Linked DNA regions of Arabidopsis thaliana. The protein of the gene in region 4 interacts with the protein of the main gene of each other region in a pairwise test. Each region holds a gene or a part of one and is shown on either strand. Other genes may lie near its edges. The genes, in order: VAMP711, AT5G15240, NIP7;1 and AT4G18220.

Evidence for each region.
Region 1: the proteins of AT4G18220 (region 4) and VAMP711 interact in a protein complementation assay, tested with the Arabidopsis thaliana proteins (one large-scale study listed by BioGRID).
Region 2: the proteins of AT4G18220 (region 4) and AT5G15240 interact in a protein complementation assay, tested with the Arabidopsis thaliana proteins (one large-scale study listed by BioGRID).
Region 3: the proteins of AT4G18220 (region 4) and NIP7;1 interact in a protein complementation assay, tested with the Arabidopsis thaliana proteins (one large-scale study listed by BioGRID).

Annotation. Positions count from the first base shown.
Region 1 is NC_003075.7:15,525,473-15,529,564, forward strand, and holds VAMP711 (vesicle-associated membrane protein 711), read right to left. Parts: upstream 2,455-4,092; 5' UTR 2,180-2,454; coding exon 1,963-2,179; intron 1,701-1,962; coding exon 1,510-1,700; intron 1,391-1,509; coding exon 1,227-1,390; intron 1,023-1,226; coding exon 935-1,022; 3' UTR 507-934; downstream 1-506. Other genes in the region: AT4G32160 (Phox (PX) domain-containing protein), read left to right, coding at 3,584-3,676, 4,087-4,092. UniProt on the Arabidopsis thaliana protein: Involved in the targeting and/or fusion of transport vesicles to their target membrane.
Region 2 is NC_003076.8:4,945,790-4,950,986, reverse strand, and holds AT5G15240 (Transmembrane amino acid transporter family protein), read right to left. Parts: upstream 3,411-5,197; 5' UTR 3,226-3,410; coding exon 3,084-3,225; intron 2,413-3,083; exon of another isoform or gene 1,992-2,412; coding exon 1,381-1,991; intron 1,295-1,380; coding exon 776-1,294; 3' UTR 577-775; downstream 1-576. Other genes in the region: FTSH6 (FTSH protease 6), read left to right, coding at 1-155, 229-576; GASA4 (GAST1 protein homolog 4), read right to left, coding at 4,962-5,143.
Region 3 is NC_003074.8:1,840,650-1,845,033, reverse strand, and holds NIP7;1 (NOD26-like intrinsic protein 7;1), read left to right. Parts: upstream 1-1,837; 5' UTR 1,838-2,099; coding exon 2,100-2,240; intron 2,241-2,322; exon of another isoform or gene 2,323-2,416; coding exon 2,417-2,641; intron 2,642-2,738; exon of another isoform or gene 2,739-2,754; coding exon of another isoform or gene 2,755-2,877; coding exon 2,878-3,075; intron 3,076-3,282; coding exon 3,283-3,344; intron 3,345-3,444; coding exon 3,445-3,646; 3' UTR 3,647-3,866; downstream 3,867-4,384. Other genes in the region: MKP2 (MAPK phosphatase 2), read right to left, coding at 457-613, 977-1,097, 1,181-1,316, 1,428-1,517; AT3G06090 (uncharacterized protein), read right to left, coding at 4,022-4,261. UniProt on the Arabidopsis thaliana protein: Aquaporins facilitate the transport of water and small neutral solutes across cell membranes.
Region 4 is NC_003075.7:10,076,754-10,080,911, reverse strand, and holds AT4G18220 (Drug/metabolite transporter superfamily protein), read right to left. Parts: upstream 2,275-4,158; 5' UTR 2,185-2,274; coding exon of another isoform or gene 2,145-2,184; coding exon 2,114-2,144; coding exon of another isoform or gene 2,068-2,113; intron 1,945-2,067; coding exon 803-1,944; 3' UTR 550-802; downstream 1-549. Other genes in the region: AT4G18230 (UDP-N-acetylglucosamine transferase subunit ALG14-like protein), read left to right, coding at 1-37, 215-391; PUP10 (purine permease 10), read right to left, coding at 3,417-4,158.

The DNA.
Region 1 (4,092 bases), 5.4 Mb from region 4:
GAAATATTTACACTTTTGTTTTTTTTTGTAAGGAAAGTAAATAATCATGTTTTTTTTAATAAATATATAGTATTAATTTTGTTATGACTTTAATTGGACTGTAGAATTTTTAGTAAGCGTGATGTAGCCGTCTTTTCTTTTCTTCTTTTTCTGTAACGATATTTAAACCGTAAAGTCGACGCTTTTTATTTTTTTTGGTTCAACCAAACATTTTAGTATTTTGATCATATATGGATATAAATTCCATCCTTTTAGTTAGTAAACATGGTGTTGATAAAAACAAAATTTTATATTTGAAATGCTGCTATTATATAAATAAAAGGTTAAATCCACCTACTATAATTTATTTAGCTATTATTAGGTGGCATGACAAGATGTCAAGTTGGTGAATGAGGTGCGTCTGGCCTTAACTAGAGATGATACCCATATTTTATTTTCGGACGACAATTTATGACACTTGTTGTATCTTGTTCTCCTATCTTTCTTTTCTAATATTTACATTCGATTTATGATCAACAAATGGCTTCAATTGTAAAATGACAAGAATTTGTAGGGTCAACGACGTACAAGATCATTCAACTGCCGACTTCAGAAGTTGGTGTGGATATACGAGAGAGGAAGTCACATAAACAAAGAACATGAAGATTCAAAGAGTTGTATGAACATATCAGACAAAGCAAGCCTGTTCACTTTTCCACTATGTATGTAATTTATAGAACATGATGTCAACAAAGATTCACACACTTCGCAAAGCAATGAGCTTTTACATTGCTCTATAAATAAGTATACTTTTTCATATACGTGAGTTGGAAACATAAGCTTTTTAAGCCACATGAAAATGCTCAGGAAAACACAAGGTTTACAATCAGATGAGGAGATAAAAAGTCGTGGCAACGCGCAGAATCGGGATGGATTCCTTAAGAGACAGATGCACTTAAATGCAAGATGGTAGAGTAGGTCCGTGGCAGAGAAAGGCCACTGCAATGTATATGATCACCAGTAGTAGTAGTATTAAGAGGACCCTGCAAGAGACAAAAAGGGTTAGGAATTAGGAACTATGTTCGATTCTTAAAAAATTCTCACTTGACATTACAAATGTGGAACTTGGGGTGATTAAAGTACTTTTTGCTATAGTTAAATGTGTTCTTAGGCCAAAAACTAGTTTTAGTATACAGTCTTGCAATCATAATACTGAAAATTGTTTACTAAGGTTTTAGGAAACATACGTGAGCTTGCAGTTTCTCCACCAGACGTTGCTTCTAAAACGACGAGCTTGCTTTCTGAACCGGAATGTATTCCCCTGCATATTGGCGGTTTTATCGACAAGAAGCTCCAAACGTTCACCTCTATCTAGGACTTTGTCAATGTTTTCTATCATGACACCCCGCACCTATCCAAAACCAAAAAGAAAAACCAGGATGTATTGTCAAACAGTGAAGCCAAGACTCAGAACCATGTCTCTAAACAACTTCACAATCCGACTGAACTTGTAAGACAAACTCATCAAACCTGATTCATTTCACCCTTAATACGATTAATCCTATCGGCATTAGGATCATTAGAGTAATAGTCAATCTGCTGACTGAGAACTCTAGAGAATTCCTCATTCATTGCATAAGCTAGTGCTGTATGAACAGCCCTGCCATAAGTCCGTACGAATCTCTGGTGAATATCCTCCAAAAAGGCAAAAGGAATTCTCCCTGACATAAAAAAGTTTTGACTTTTGAGTTAGAAAGACATTCACATCTCTCTAATGCACAGCTTCTCGGATATAATTGTGTTGATGTTATGTCCAAAAAAATCAAATTCATTCACATCACAATATAAGACCAAAGGTCTCGAATTCAATAACAGAGCGATCGTTCAGAGCAAAAAAGGATTAGACTTTTGAATTCCACTGTCACCAAAGTTGGAAACTTCCTCAAAATTAGCCATAGAAGTAAAAGAAAGGGGAGGACGTACTTCCGGCGGTTTCTTCGGCCATACAGAGAACGGTGAGGCCATCGGTGCGTTTAACGTGGAAGACGTAACGATCCTGAGAGTAGGAGACGTTGCTGTCGTTGTCTCCAGGGACCTTCTCGAGGATCTGTTTGGCGATGGTGCTCGCATTCGTAGAGGTGGCGGTGAACTCAGAAAGAACCACCGTGCCACGAGCCACGAGGGCGTACAGAATCGCCATCTCCGTCGTCGATCCCCCTGCCGAATCAACAAAACTCGTGTAAGGTCAACGAAGAAGAAGGTTTTCCCGCGGAAACCGAGCCAGCCAGACGAATCGCTGGATCAATCAATCAGAGAGAGAGAGAGAGAGAGAGAGAACCAATTGGCTTCTTTTTCTCTCTGCATATAATTGAATCTCTTTCTCTCTCTCTCCTCTTGGAGTTTAGCTGGAGCTGGAGACCTTTTCGCCTCCGCTGATTACAAATATTTAATTTCGGATAGCTACGTTGATTTATTTTTAAAATACTGTATTATTATAAGGATCAAAATGAAATTTTGTCAAAATATCACGGGCAAAACTAAGTTAGTTCTTTTTGTTTTGTCGGAACTAATTTAGTTCTAATAAGTAAAAAATATAAATATGAAAAGAAAACAATTTGCTTCAGTTTCGAAAATATTGTACCGTGAATTGTTTTATAAGGATTATTAATGGTTAACGCTAAATTAGTTTGATATCAAACTTATAAGAAATACAAAGAAAACAAACAAATTCTATCAGTTTCAAACAAATAGAGAAATCTGAGCAAAAAGATCGAATAATTGTAATTTATCCGTGGAAGAAGATGTGATTTTAAAGTGTAAATTTTTACGAATATGAAGGATAAAATGTAGGGATGTGTTCAAATCATCATTAAATCAGTTTTTTTTTTTTTAGTGTGGTAGTGACGTACCAAACAAAACCAAAAAGCGGTCTATTTCCTTCTGGTTTGAAACGATTTGGGTCAAAATTGGGTTTCGAGTTTGAATAAGATATGAGTGAATAATATACTAACTTTAGCCAAAGACAAAAAAAAAAAAGGAAAATTAAAGGCAGAAAAATGAAAATGACATCCAATGAGCTGAGCCTAAACCAAACATAGCCAGAGATAAGCCTTACAAAATGTACAACAGATATAAAATCCCAATTCCCAACTCTAAACCAAGACGTGGTTCACGACCCAAACCGAATCTCACGGGAAAAAGTGGGACATATACACATATATACACGGTAAGCTTCGCGCCTCCGTCAAATCACGTGTTGTTTCTTCTCGGCTTTTCCGTTAAAGTAAACGTCACAACACCGCCGTTAATCACCGTGGTCTGTGGGAATTCAACCCAGAGGCAGAGAAGACCCTGAGAGACGCCATCTGGTCCTTCTTTTGCCTCCATCTGTGTCCTCTCTCTCTCTCCTCGATCTCACGACGATCTTCATAAACCCTACGCTCTGCTTACTCTTCCATCATCTTTTGCTCAGATTTCGTAATTTGTGGTTTCTCGATCGGGATATTAGTACTCGATCGTGTCTCCGATTGATTCTGATCGGAATATCAAATTCGGATTCCGGAGAGCTGGAGATAGAGAGAGACTTAGGTAAAGTTTGGTGGAGATGATGCAGAGACGGAGTCCGCCCAAGCACAGGCATGACGGAACATCGCCGCTTCCATTAGGAATGGATTGGAGTCCTCCACCGCGCAAATGGGTGAGTTCTTTTGTTGCCAAAAATTCGAACTTTATTGGACTTTACCACGTTACCTTTTGGAAGTGCCGTGCTAGAATTCTTCAGTTGCCTGCTTTATTCTAATGGGACTTGAGATAAATGTGGATGTCTTTGTTATTAGTCCCAAGCTATGGGGATAGCTAGTGTAGTTACCAGCAAGTCCAATGGTAGACTCACCACATAAGGCATTAGAAGTCATTTCCTACAATTGGTGAATTCTGTTGTTGCCCTCTATTGAATTGTTAGTTTATCTTTTGTTTAACATCAGGGGTAGCTAAATCTTTATTTATGCAGCTTTGGATAGCTCCAGACTATAAAGTATCATTCTACTCGATTGAATTCCATATATGTACAAGTTGGAGATTTTGAGATATTTATGTTTATTTCTGCAGAATGGT
Region 2 (5,197 bases), on a different chromosome or scaffold from region 4:
GAGAAGATCCGACATTGGTGTCTAAACAGCAATTGTTCGCTAGAATCGTCGGAGGACTCGGAGGCAGAGCCGCCGAAGATGTAATTTTTGGAGAACCGGAGATAACCACCGGCGCTGCCGGTGATCTCCAGCAAGTCACTGAGATAGCAAGACAGGTACAGTAATTGAAACAAAATTTTCATAAACCGGAAAAAAACGGTGGATTTTCTAATTATTCTTATGGTTCAGATGGTGACGATGTTTGGTATGTCGGAAATCGGTCCATGGGCACTAACCGACCCAGCGGTTAAGCAAAACGATGTGGTTCTACGGATGCTAGCGAGGAACTCAATGTCCGAGAAACTTGCGGAGGATATTGATTCTTGCGTGAAGAAAATAATCGGTGACGCTTACGAGGTTGCGAAAAAGCACGTGAGGAATAATAGAGAAGCTATAGACAAGCTTGTTGATGTTTTGTTGGAGAAAGAAACCTTAACGGGAGACGAGTTTCGAGCAATTCTGTCTGAGTATACTGATCAACCGTTAAATACCGATGGCGATGTAAGAATTCGAATCAATGACTTGATTAGTGTCTAATACAGACACCTAGATCAACTCATGTCTTCATTTAACGTATTCACATTTTTCTCATTCCAAATTATTACATAACTCAAAAAAACTTCGTTAACGAAAGTCACAAAAAATCAAATAAAACAAATTATGGTATTGGACTGTTGGTAGTACAAATATCTTCCTAAACAAATACTCTATAAGCTAAACTTCACCTATTGGGATTTCAAAATCGACCAAAAATGTCCTTGACCGCTTGGTAAGTTCCGGTTATCACAACCACGATACCGGTTAGAGTGATTCCGATGAGCACCAATGTTTCGAATCCGAGTCTTTGATATTTCCCAGAGATCTTTAAGTAACATAAACATGGCAATATAACCGATGCGGATGCGCTCAAGAATGCTCCCACAAGACTCATAAGATCACCAAAAAACGGAAGAAGCAATGCCACAATCACATTGCTAGTAACTAGTATTGTACTTAGCAAAAATCCAGAAGCTCTTTTATTAGGCAAAACTCGAGAAAACCGGCTTCTCATTGCGTCAATAATAGGTGTAACCATGAGAGCAAACTTAGCTATTGGGTTGACCAATGTAGTCCATATCGCCACTTTTGAACTAAGCTTATCAGTAGGAAGATTCAAAGTGATCTGTGATTCAACATCTGATCCATACATTAAGTAACCCAATACCGCCACTGATGCATATATGAAGGTGCATATTGTGAAACATATAATCATAACCTGAAAATGTTAAAAAAAATATGCAAAATTATTAGTGTGAGTTTTGGTCAAGAATAACCTAATGATCCGTTATGTAAAAAACTTACGTTTGAGAATTGGCGTTTGTTCTTCATGGAAGTGTATAGAGTTGGGAAAACTGGATGAGCGCAATAACAAAACGCGTATAAGCTCACCGAAGTAGCGACTCCATTAAGTCGAAAGACCTCTGAGTCATTGTTCTTGAACCCTACGCCTTCAAAAGCTCCAACCGAAAAGATAGAAGCAAGAATAACCCCGGAAGCAAAGACACCACTCGCGGAAACATAAGAAAGAATCCTCATATTGTCTAACCAAACCGAAGGAAGAATAATGAGAGCCACCATGATGATGAACATTTGCTTGCCTTGGAATTCAAGCCCCATGAAGTTGAGTCCAACGTTTGAGAAGAGTTTGTTAAGGTTGTCACCTTCTAGGATCAAGAAACTAGTTGCAACTAGGTAAAGCTCGAGGTTCATGAAGATGGAGACGATAACACGTCCTGTGTTTCCAAAGGCTTTGTAGCCAATGTCCGGGTATGATCTAAGAAGTGGATCCATTTCCATACATCTCTTAATGAGAATGGCACAGTAGAAAGTTGTGATCGCTACGGTGAAAAGTATGATCAAACTTAGCCATCCTCCGGATGCTAAGGCATAAGGGACCGATAATATACCCACACCTAAAAAAAAAAGAGTTGATCAGAAGAATGTCCAAGCCTAACGCATATGCTAATTAACGTTTTTTGTGTTAACTATTTACAAACGTTCTTTTTGTATATATGAAAACGCAAACGCAGTTTTTAATTGAAAACACAAACGCAAAGAAATATTCGTGGTCTCGTTACCAATAAGATAATATGATTTGATTTTATCAAAGTGGTTTGTAGTCTTGTAGAAGAAGAAGAACACAAATTGAAAAGGGAAGACGTGTTGTTAATGTGTTAAGGTTTTGTTCAGTGACACGTTGTATTTATATCTGAAAGATAATTGGAATTGCTGGTTTCTTTCTATTTAATTATATGGACTGTTTTTTGTTCGTATATGGTCTAGTTTGGTCTAGTTTGGTCAGACGTGTTTCCAGTATATAATTAGTTTTTTTAGTATAAACTAAGTATCTAGTTTGGTATATAAACAATTAAGTACAACGATAGCGGCCAGTTTGATAAACCCATTATTAGGCCATTACCACATTTAGCGAATAAATAATAGCAATAGTCATTGAAAACTTTGCCGAATTGTTAATACTATAGTGTTAAATTCAGTTAAACGGAACCATCCTAACCTTTAATAGTCAGAACAAAAATGATTTGGTTATTTAGCACTATTGTTTATCAAAGACTATGAAACTGAATCTAGACGAAGAAAAACACAATTCAGTCTAAGTAGAACTGGTTTTAACTTGGTTATGATAAATTATCAACAGAAAAATTAAATAACTAAAAAAACTGAGGCAAGACTAGGAGGTAAAGAAACAAAATGTAGGATTGAAATACACACCAATCTAGATGATACAAGATAAAGTCAAAAGCTTGAGTTAAAAACATGCATCTATAGAAATTAAGTACAATAAAGCTAATTATAGTTTTTTCTAGATTATTTTGAAAATTAAGATATATCCTATCCATATATGTGGACATGCTAAGAGTTGGATCTTTCCCCGTGAGTTATGGAGTTTGGAGATAAGAAGAAGTGGTGAATAAATCAAAAAGAAAAAATCAATCACGAAAATGAAAATAGAAAAAAAAAAAAAGAAGAAGAAGAGGAAATTAAACCTGATAAGGCGTTAATGCCATGGAAACAAGTCTTGGAGAAAGAAGTATTGCCCTGTGGATTATAATCATCAAGCAATGATTCTTCATCATCAATCTTCTTAACGATAAATGGCTCCGACATGTAATCTTTGTCCTCGCTCATACTTGTTTAGTCTTTGACTCTGCTCTTTGGATATCGAAGAGACAAAGAGAGAGAGACGGAGAGATCGAGAGACGAAGGAAATAGATAGAGAGAAGTTGGAACTTGGAAGTAAACAATAAAGAAACCCTCAAAAGGCAATATATATAGTGTTAATACATTTACTAGGGTCAATGTTTTTAAATTACATCAATTATTAGAGCTGATTTTTATGCAGTATCCATGCACATATGATATCTACACGATATTAGCGTGGCAGTGGAATTCTATTTAATGTTTATTGACCAATTAAATATTCGTGGATGGGGTTTTTAGAAACTAATTGAAATTTAAGTGCAACTCTTTATATAGAAAAAAATTATAACCACTTACACACAAATCTACCATAATTTGCGATTTGTGTGGTTCTAGAATTTAATGTTAGTTGTATAAGAAAATTGGTAGGAAGAGAGAAAATAAAACTCCACGAAGTTTTCCACTTTAATGTTAGGGCGTTTAACTTAGGTGATAGAGAGAATGCAAGTACCAAATCCTCTTTCGGTGAAGACTGAAGAGGGATCAAATTTTCATAAAAATACATGGTCCAAAGTAGTATATCATGTCAATAATCTGTTGGACGAGACTGGAGCACTTGAAAAATCGTCACATATTTTTTTGTTGTCGTTTGTTAAAAATAGTTGACAAGTGAATCCCCAGACCTAAAGAGTAGATAAGTATGAATAGCCTTGATCTGACGTAAATCAATATCTTGACGCTAGTTTACAGTTATGTTCTACAAGGTGCCGAGTAGTTCTAACAATAATGAAAATATCGACATATATATCTATATATTTTCGTTACTATTAAAACCATACTGCAAATTTTTTACAGTTATCCAATATGTTTTCATTCAGAAATCGAAACCAAAAACTTTTATAGGTTACAAAATGAGTTCTTTAGAAAAGAAGAATACTCATTGCCGGCCATTTCCCCATGTTGTGCTTGTGAAAAAATAGCATGCACATGTTGATAAAAAAAAAAAGTATCTTCTTCAAGATCACCATTCAAAATGCATGTGAGATGTCTAACAAAGAGAGCTAAATTGAGCTTTGTTGTTAATGCTAATAACTATAGTTGTACTCCAAACCTCATATTTCTTGTCGATTAATGTCAATATATAAGGCATTATTAAGAGTATTTATTGATACGTAGGGTAATGAACGGGTAAAACGTTTATAAGTTTGTGGTTCATATCATTGCACCGATTGTAAAATATCGTTGTCGTTATTTATTTCCAACTGCCCAAAGCCCAAGTCTTGTATAAAAGAAGATTGCGGCAAAAAGCAATCGCGTTAGAACACGTGATTTTGTAAAAAGCTTGGAAAAATCAATAATGGGCTTTTTAGTACTGGGCCGAGAGACCCAATGTCACTCTTTTCTACATATGCATACTTCTTTCGCAGGAATTTTTTAAATTGTATTATTTGGTTTGCCTTACCCTTTATAGTATTACTATTTTCGAAATGGAAAATATCTTTTTTTTTGGTGGATGAATGGGAAAATATCTTTAGAAACACAAGTATTCATGAAAAATATCATTCATAGGGCCACTCTCATTTTTTTTAGGATTTAGAACAAAATCCGAAAAGGAGTGACATAACATTACAACATTAGGAATAAAGTAGATAAAACATTGATCAAAGGAAATTTAGTTATAGTTGAAAATTTTTATTATAAAAAGGGAACGAAGGGAGATTTTTTCAAGGGCATTTTGGTCCACCCTCTTGAGTTTTCCAGTTGTTGTAGCAGGAGCAAACTTGTTTGTTCCCATAGTAACCCGGAGGCACACAGAGACACTTCCTGCAGCATTTGTTGCAGAACGTAATGCAAGCCTTGTGGTACTGTGTCTTTTTACACCTCCTATCACATTCCGATGGGCATTCTGGTTGTTTCAAATACAAACAATATCAAAATGTTAACACTCAAAAATTTTTTA
Region 3 (4,384 bases), on a different chromosome or scaffold from region 4:
GTAAAGAAATCTAACTCCTACTTCGATATTCAATTTGTTCATGGTCTATCACGTTATATACAATATTGATCGACAAGGCAATGAAACAAGAAAAAAAAAAAAAAAAACTCACGTTCGATCAAGATATCGGTTAACATTCAATGCAAGGGTCGAAAACCAAACCAACCAATTTTCAGTCTGGTTTGGGTATGGGATTGGTTTGGTTAAATTCACACTGATCCTCCTAGAAAATATATTCATTGTAGTAACAGAGGAAATGTAAATTCTGCGTTTTCATTCATTTCAATTGGCTAATGGACATGGCAAAGTGCTCACCATCAATAGTTCACAAGAAAAAATCCTTCACAGCACGAAACCAATCAACTTTTTTGGCCAACATGGGGCTGAAGACACTTGCCGGAATTTCATGAGAGTTCATCATGCCACTATCTTGAATCTTCTTATCAGCTGAAGCAATCATGCATTACCTTGGATGGATTTTTCAAATTGCTGGAGCTGCGAAATGAAACCGGGATTAGGATATGCCTGATGTCGTCGGCTCCTTACAAGTTCCATAGCTTTAGAGAATCCCATTCCATGCTTTTTCATCAGGTAAGCCACCACTATAGTCACACTTCAAAGAAAAACTCAAACCAATCAAATTGTGTAAGTATATATATAACAGAACGACACAATAAGCAAATTACAGGTTCAAGAAAAACTCTTAATTTGTCCACAACAAAATGTAATCTGTTCACTACCATAACTCCTACTAATACCAGAATCAGCAAGCTATAAAAGAATCAAAGCAAACTACAAGATTCATATACACTTTTGCCAATCTGAGTCTCTGTAGTTTCCTATGGTTACTCAGTTGGCAATTTATATACACTTTTTTGATATGGTTACATAATTTGCAATTGGTTCACATTGATGATTCTTAAACACTAAATCTAATAACTGAATGTATGAGATTTAAGGGCAAAAGAATCAAAACCTCCTAGACATTCCCATGAAGCAATGAACCAAAACACCACCACCAGATTGAATAGCTTGGTCGATGAAGCTATAACACTCATCGAAATATACTGTCAAATCGGTCTCGGATCTATCAACCACTACACGATGAAGAACAAGTTTATAAAATCTCTAAACGAAAAATTTCAAAAACAGGCTAAGGATTGAAGAAAAAAAACCCAACCTTCAATGACTTTGTAGACAAAATCATCAGGATAAGGAGGAGCCAAGGCCACAGCAACGGTTAAGACATGAGTGATATTAGAGCTTTTGAGAAAATCCTTGTTATTCGCTTCAGCTACTGATCCTATGAACAATCCCTGAGAATAAACTCATCCAACAAACGATTTTTCGGAATTAAAGACTCCAAAACCTGAGAAATTCCAAGTGTGAAATTAGACGGATAGATAGAGAAGAGAAACGAAGAAAACCTGTTGGATCTCGCTGAGATCTTTGCCTCCTTCGAGTAGCTTCTGGGAATTAGCTTCTCCGACTCCGAAGAGATCAACCACTTTCTCCATCGCTCTCTGCTTCTTTTTTCAAAATTCCACTTGTACAGACGAAAACTCTTAATCAGAAAGATAAATAACCCTAGATTCGTAATTAATATTTAATAGTTTAGTTCGGATAGATGAATCAATAAGCACCAGTGGTCTAGTGGTAGAATAGAACCCTGCCACGGTACAGACCCGGGTTCGATTCCCGGCTGGTGCAACAATTTGTTTGTTTTTTTAAGTGAAAAGATTTAAGAGAGTCAACCTTTTTACACATGAAATGAAGATGATTAAAATAAATAGATGACTTAGAAATCACCAAATTAACATTAAGAAATATTGGTAGGTAGGAAGTGAAAATTGAACACAAGAAAAGTGTTGAGCACCCTCTTCTCCTTTCAGACTGCTTAACCAAAGGAATATAGCAGCACTCTACTAATTCTTCTTTTTGTTGAAATAAAATAATTACTCTTTAATTTCCATCTTCTTTGCGTTTTTCTCTCTATCTCTCTTTTTTTGTTCCATTAGATCATTCATAAAGCGGATCAAGCCACCTTGATTGTGACTTTCCTCAGTTCTTGATCACTATATCTTGAAGGAATTAAGAAGATGAATGGTGAGGCACGGTCAAGAGTAGTCGACCAAGAAGCTGGCTCAACTCCATCTACTTTGAGAGATGAAGATCATCCCTCGAGACAAAGGCTTTTCGGATGTCTCCCTTATGATATAGATCTCAATCCCCTACGCATTGTAAGCTTCATATATACACAAAATCATAGAATCAACAAGATTAATATCTCACAATACTTTTGTGTTAAACTAAAGAATTGGCTATGTCCATAATTACAAATAATTTTTTTGAAAATATTAAAATGTTTGTATAGAAATAAAATGCTAATTAATAGTATCTCCGGACTAATGTTTAGGTAATGGCGGAATTGGTGGGGACATTCATTCTAATGTTCAGTGTGTGTGGGGTCATAAGCAGTACCCAATTATCCGGCGGCCACGTGGGATTGCTAGAGTACGCCGTCACCGCTGGATTATCTGTGGTGGTCGTAGTTTACTCCATCGGACACATCTCTGGCGCCCATCTTAACCCTTCCATCACCATTGCTTTCGCTGTCTTTGGCGGATTCCCGTGGTCTCAGGTATAATGCATCCATCTCAACACGGCGTTTGACCAACTAAGAATTGTAGTTGAATTATCTTGGTCTTGATCGTTTGTTTTTGTTTATCTTAGCGTTTAGACCAAGATCAAATAATGTGTTTTTTTCATTTATCAACGAAGATGAGACGAGAAAACTTAATCTTTTGTTTGGACGTTTACAAATTATTTTTTATGAAAACTGAAAATTCTTTTTTGGAATGTTGTGTCACATGCCAGGTTCCGTTGTATATAACGGCGCAAACATTGGGGGCAACGGCGGCAACATTAGTTGGGGTGTCAGTGTACGGAGTAAACGCTGACATTATGGCAACAAAACCTGCTTTAAGCTGCGTTTCTGCATTTTTCGTTGAACTCATAGCTACGAGCATCGTCGTGTTTCTCGCCTCCGCGTTGCATTGTGGTCCTCATCAAAATGTAAGTGACCAAATCGATCTTCGTTACTCCTCTAGTCCGCTTGTTATAAAAAAATATCTTCTAATAAGAATAACACCTAAAATGTGACATTTACATGCTATTTCTTAATTATGAAATTTTATTTCTTTCCAAAGAGAAAATAAAAAAAATCAAACTCTCTGATTAGAAAACTTATATGCATTTAATTTTATATGTTATTTTGTGCAGTTGGGTAATTTGACGGGGTTCGTGATTGGAACAGTCATTTCCCTTGGAGTGCTTATTACCGGGTACTTAACTTAAAACTCCATTATCACCGTAAAGTATTGGAAAATAGTTATTTCATGTGATCGTATAATGCTAACGTTTTGTGGAATATGGTATGGTTAGACCGATTTCAGGAGGATCGATGAACCCAGCTCGATCACTTGGACCGGCGGTGGTGGCATGGGATTTTGAAGACTTATGGATTTACATGACAGCTCCGGTGATCGGAGCCATAATCGGAGTTTTGACATACAGATCAATTAGCCTAAAAACCAGGCCTTGCCCTTCTCCAGTTTCCCCTTCCGTTTCTTCACTTTTACGTTAATCACTTCAAAACCTAATATCTATTATACAAATAAACACTTTTGATTTTTTTTCTTGGTTAAGGTTTTTAAGTTTTTGTCATTACGTCATTAGATGCCGTGATGCGAAAACAGAGAGCTACTTATCGGATTGAAGATATAGAGGGTAAAGCAAATGAAAACAGGGGGCATTTTGTTCTTTTTACACAATGAAATGAACGCAATTAAAAATCTTTAGTCACATATATTTTATAGTGAAGCGAAATTCGTATGAATATTCAAATCCTTTCATTAGGTTATAAGAACCCACTAAAATACTCATATTACTAAACGATACCAACAAACATAAATTAGAGAAATGAAATTAAATATCTTAAATTATTACCCCAACTAAAAATTTAGTGGCCACAACCTCTACGACTTGGACCAGAAGCTAACTTTCGACCTGACCACAAATTCGCCTTCTTCTTCTTCTCCTCGTAGTTTCCAAACTCATTTCTTGAATCTTCTCCGACTACATTCATTCTCGTTGCCTTCTCTGCAACCCTGTTACAACCATGGTAACTAGCCATGGCAATGGAACAAGTTAAGTAAGCGACCAAGAGAAACACAACTTTAAGAAGCTTCTTCATCTTCATGTTCTTAGTGTCGACTACTACTTAAACTATAGATTCTCAACATTGATTCGTATTCGTGTATATATGCATGTTTATAGATTTTTGGTCTTTTGTTCTATGAGAGCTAATGCATAATTAGTTAAA
Region 4 (4,158 bases):
CTGTATTCCTCTGTGTGTGATCGCCTTTTTATTCAAGGTATACACACTTCGGAAATATTTTATCAAGATTCTTTGCAGTTCTTTCCTCTACATTTTGGATGACCTTGAATGGACTTGTGACCAAAAACAGAGGATGTGTTTTGTTTATTCTTAGTCATGGTTTCTCCATTACATCTAGAATTCCCATAAGTGCTTGTTTCATCTTGGGTTACAGGTGCTGGGAATTAGATGGTCATCAATCTTTTATGTTGAGAGTGTAGCAAGAGTGAAAAAGCTCTCATTAAGTGGATTGTTGCTTTACAAGTTGAGAATAGCTGATCAATTCTTTGTTCAATGGCCACAACTGCATAAGAAGTATCCTCGGGCTCACTATGTTGGGTGCCTGATGTAAGCTGATTGGAACTCTACTTACACCTAGATATATTACAAAAACTTAGAAAGCTACATAGTGTACACCTTCTCTTTATATGCAGGATTGAGTTTTAAACAATGAATTTTTGTAATCAGCTGTTTTGACTTTGTTAATGACTTAATGCTATTTCAGTGAGCTTATAATGTGATTTTGGTCATCTTATTCCAAACTAAACCAGAATCGTGCACAACATATATTTAAATAAAATATACTTCATGTTACAATGATGCACACATTTTCAGGCTGTGACTTCACTTGAGTCGCATCACAAATCTATTATGTTTATTTTTCATTGTAGGCTGCCTTCATACCAATAAAGAAAAGTAAGTTTACTTGATCAGCTCGCTTTAGTCTGTAAACTGTGTGTGCCACAATCTTTGAAGTAACAGCTTATTTTGATTGCTCACTTGACCCTTCTGCTTCTGGTCGGTCAGGGGATTCTGTTGTTGGTATTTCATTACTTTTCTTCAAGTTTGTTTCATCAAGATATTGTTGGTAGACATAGGATACGAAACCCCAAATAGCTAGAATCATAGAAATCACCTTTAAGCCGTTCATTTTGTCATGGAAAATGATGACAGCCAGGATAGGAACCACGGGGAGTCCCAAAGCGCTTATTGCATTTGAGAATAGGGAGGAAAGCTCGAAGATCAGTCCTGTGCAACCGATGGAGAATACCTGCCAGGTAACAGCTGTCCACACTAGGTTCATGACATAGGATACCTTCCCAAGTTTGTAGTTTTCCATTTCACTGCTCAAAGTTTTCCACTCGCTACTAGCAAAAAGCCCCACCACGCTAACACAACTGGCCACTAGACTCATGTAGATTATCATATTTATAACTTCTGAGAAAGTTTGCTTCTTTAAAACTTTACGAAAGGCTAGCTGTTGTAGGGATAAGAGTAGACCAAACCCAGCAGATGCACCAACGGTGCATACGAAACCTTTGACATACTCTCCTTTTGTAACTTTTTTGGAATCTGATTCCTCGTTATTAAATGCAAGGAGGGTGGAAGATATAGTGAGGAGGAAAAGAGAATTCAAAATGATAGGAGTAAGTTTTTGTGAGTTGAGTAAATAAGAGAAGAAAGCGGTGAAGGCTAACTGTGATGCACAGATCAGGGAAAGGGTAGAAACAGGTAGGTAAAGCAGTCCAATGGAATATAGGTAGCAAGCTGCTCCTACAAGAAGTCCAAGCACTATGTAAACTAATGCACGGTTCCTAAGTGAGGTTAATTTGCCATCTCTCTGAGTTGTTGTATGTGTTTTGACTGACAAGAGATGATATGGAAGTAGAATAGGAAAGCCTACAAGCTGAACTACCGTTGCTAGCCATTTGCTGTTTCCTCCATTTTCATAGTATAGTCTGCCCAGAATTGTAGCAACTGATTGGCCTGAAATGACAAAGAATGTATAGATAGCAACCCGGAGCCACCGTTTGTATGTATTAGAGTGAGATAGTTTTGTTTGGCTGCCACTGACCGAACTTCTTTCGTCTTGATCTGTTGGAATTGGTTCTTTTCCCTGCTGAACTGGTGAGTGATGGAAAATAACGCAAGAAATTAGATTATGACTTATTTGTTGTCACACATGAAAAATATTGATATATTGAATAATAAGATACCATAACCATATTTTTCGTCTTTTATTTGAAGATAAAAGACCAGTAGGTTCTCGAGGAACTGGTTTATGCTTACTCACCAATGACTTGTACTTCTTGATCCCCCTTCATAGTAGATGTGGAATCCCCCTCCTTCGAGATGGACAAGGAGGTACTAACAATGTTCTGAATAGATTCTAAGTATTAGGTATCTTATTATCAAATTGCTTGGTTACTAGTGCTACCAAGTGATTGCTTCTGTGATATGGGTGAGACACGCTGTAGCTATATATTTAGAGATTAGGAATCGGTCATCGTCTATGTTTTGATTGTACTTGTCCCCACATTCAGTAAATGCCAACTGTATATCTTCTCTTGCTGTGAATTTAATTTCTTTTGTCACTATTGTTGATCTAGAGATGAGTCGAGTCAAATCAAGAAGGAAATGATGTGTAGCCATTAGTCACTCAGTATTTTATACCTGTGTGACACATCAGCCATATGCATAGACACAAACTTAACACGCATGCACACAAGTTGTAAGATTGTATGACCGTCAGGATGTCTATTTTGAAAGTTATTCGTCTTCTTTAATTTCTTTGGCTTGTTCCGTCTGACTATCTTTCTCTTATGAGATCAGGCATGTGGATTAGAAACACATTTATGGAGATGATGTCTCGCTTCTCTTTTCAAAAGAAGACATTTGCACCACAATATTGGATGGCAGAGGAAGTCACTTTATTAACTGCTAAGATGGAGACTGCCAAATGGTATTATTTCTGGTCATTTACTTTTTGTACAAAGCTCTGTTTCACCAAGGATGTTTGGACCTGTCTGATTAATATTTCTTCTTTCTTCATTAGAAATGATTTTCTGTGTGTCCTTGTTTCACAATGTTTCAGGTAAAACTAGAAAGTGGAATAGTGCATTGAAATCTTTTTAAGTTATGGCTAAGGGTTAATTTTTATCAGGTGTCACACTCACAAAATTGACATGGTTTTTTATTAAATAAATATCTACTTTTATCAATCTGCCTACAGGTTCTTGTTACATACAGGGTTGAGTTACATTTAATCTTTAGCTGCTATGAACCCAAGTTTAAACGATGAACTTTTGTAATCAGCTGTTCTAAACTTAAGATTGTTGGTTCACTGAGATTACAATGTAATTTGGGTAATCGTAATTGAAACTAAACCAAAGTCATTCACTACTTATTTAAATGAAATCTACTTCCTGTTACAATGATGCAAAAAATTTCAAGCTGAGACTTTACATTAGTTGCATCAAAAATGTATTGTGTATTCTTCAATGTAGGATGCCTCCAGGCCGATAAGTAAAGTAAGTTTACTTAACTAGATTGATTGAGTCTGTAAACTGCGGGACAGCATCTTTCAAAATATCAGCTTATTTTGATTGCCAAGTTGACTCTTCTGCTTCTGGTGGGTCAGGGGATTCTGTTGTTGTGATTTCATGATTTTTCTTCAAGTTTTTGTCATCAAGATATTGTTGGTAGACATAGGAAGTGAAACCCCAAATAGCTAGGATCATAGAAATCACCTTTAACCCATTCATTTTGTCATGGAAAATGATTACAGCCAAGATAGGAACCACTGGGAGTCCCAAAACGCTTATTGCATTTGAGAATAGAGAGGAGAGCTCGAAGATCAGTCCTGTGCCACCGATGGAGAATACCTGCCAGGTAACAGCTGTCCACACTAGGTTCATAATGTAGGATACCTTCCCATGTTTGTAGTTATCCATTTCACTGCTCAAAGTTTTCCACTCACTGCTAGCAAAAAGCCCCACCACGCTAACACAACTGGCCACTAGACTCACGTAGATTATCATATCCATAACTTCTGAGAAATTTTGCTTCTTTAGGACTTTTAGAAAGGCTAGCTGTTGTAGGGATAAGACTAGACCATAACCAGCAGACGCAGCAACGGTGCATATGAAACCTTTGACATACTCTCCTTTTGTAACTTTTGTGGAGTCTGTCTCCTCATTATTGAATGCAAGTAGGGTGGAAGATATAGTTAGGAGGAAAAGAGAATTTAAAATGATAGGGGTAAGTTTTTGTGAGTTAAGAAAATAAGAGAAGAAAGCATTGAAGGCTAACTGAGATGCACAGATCAGGGAATAGGTA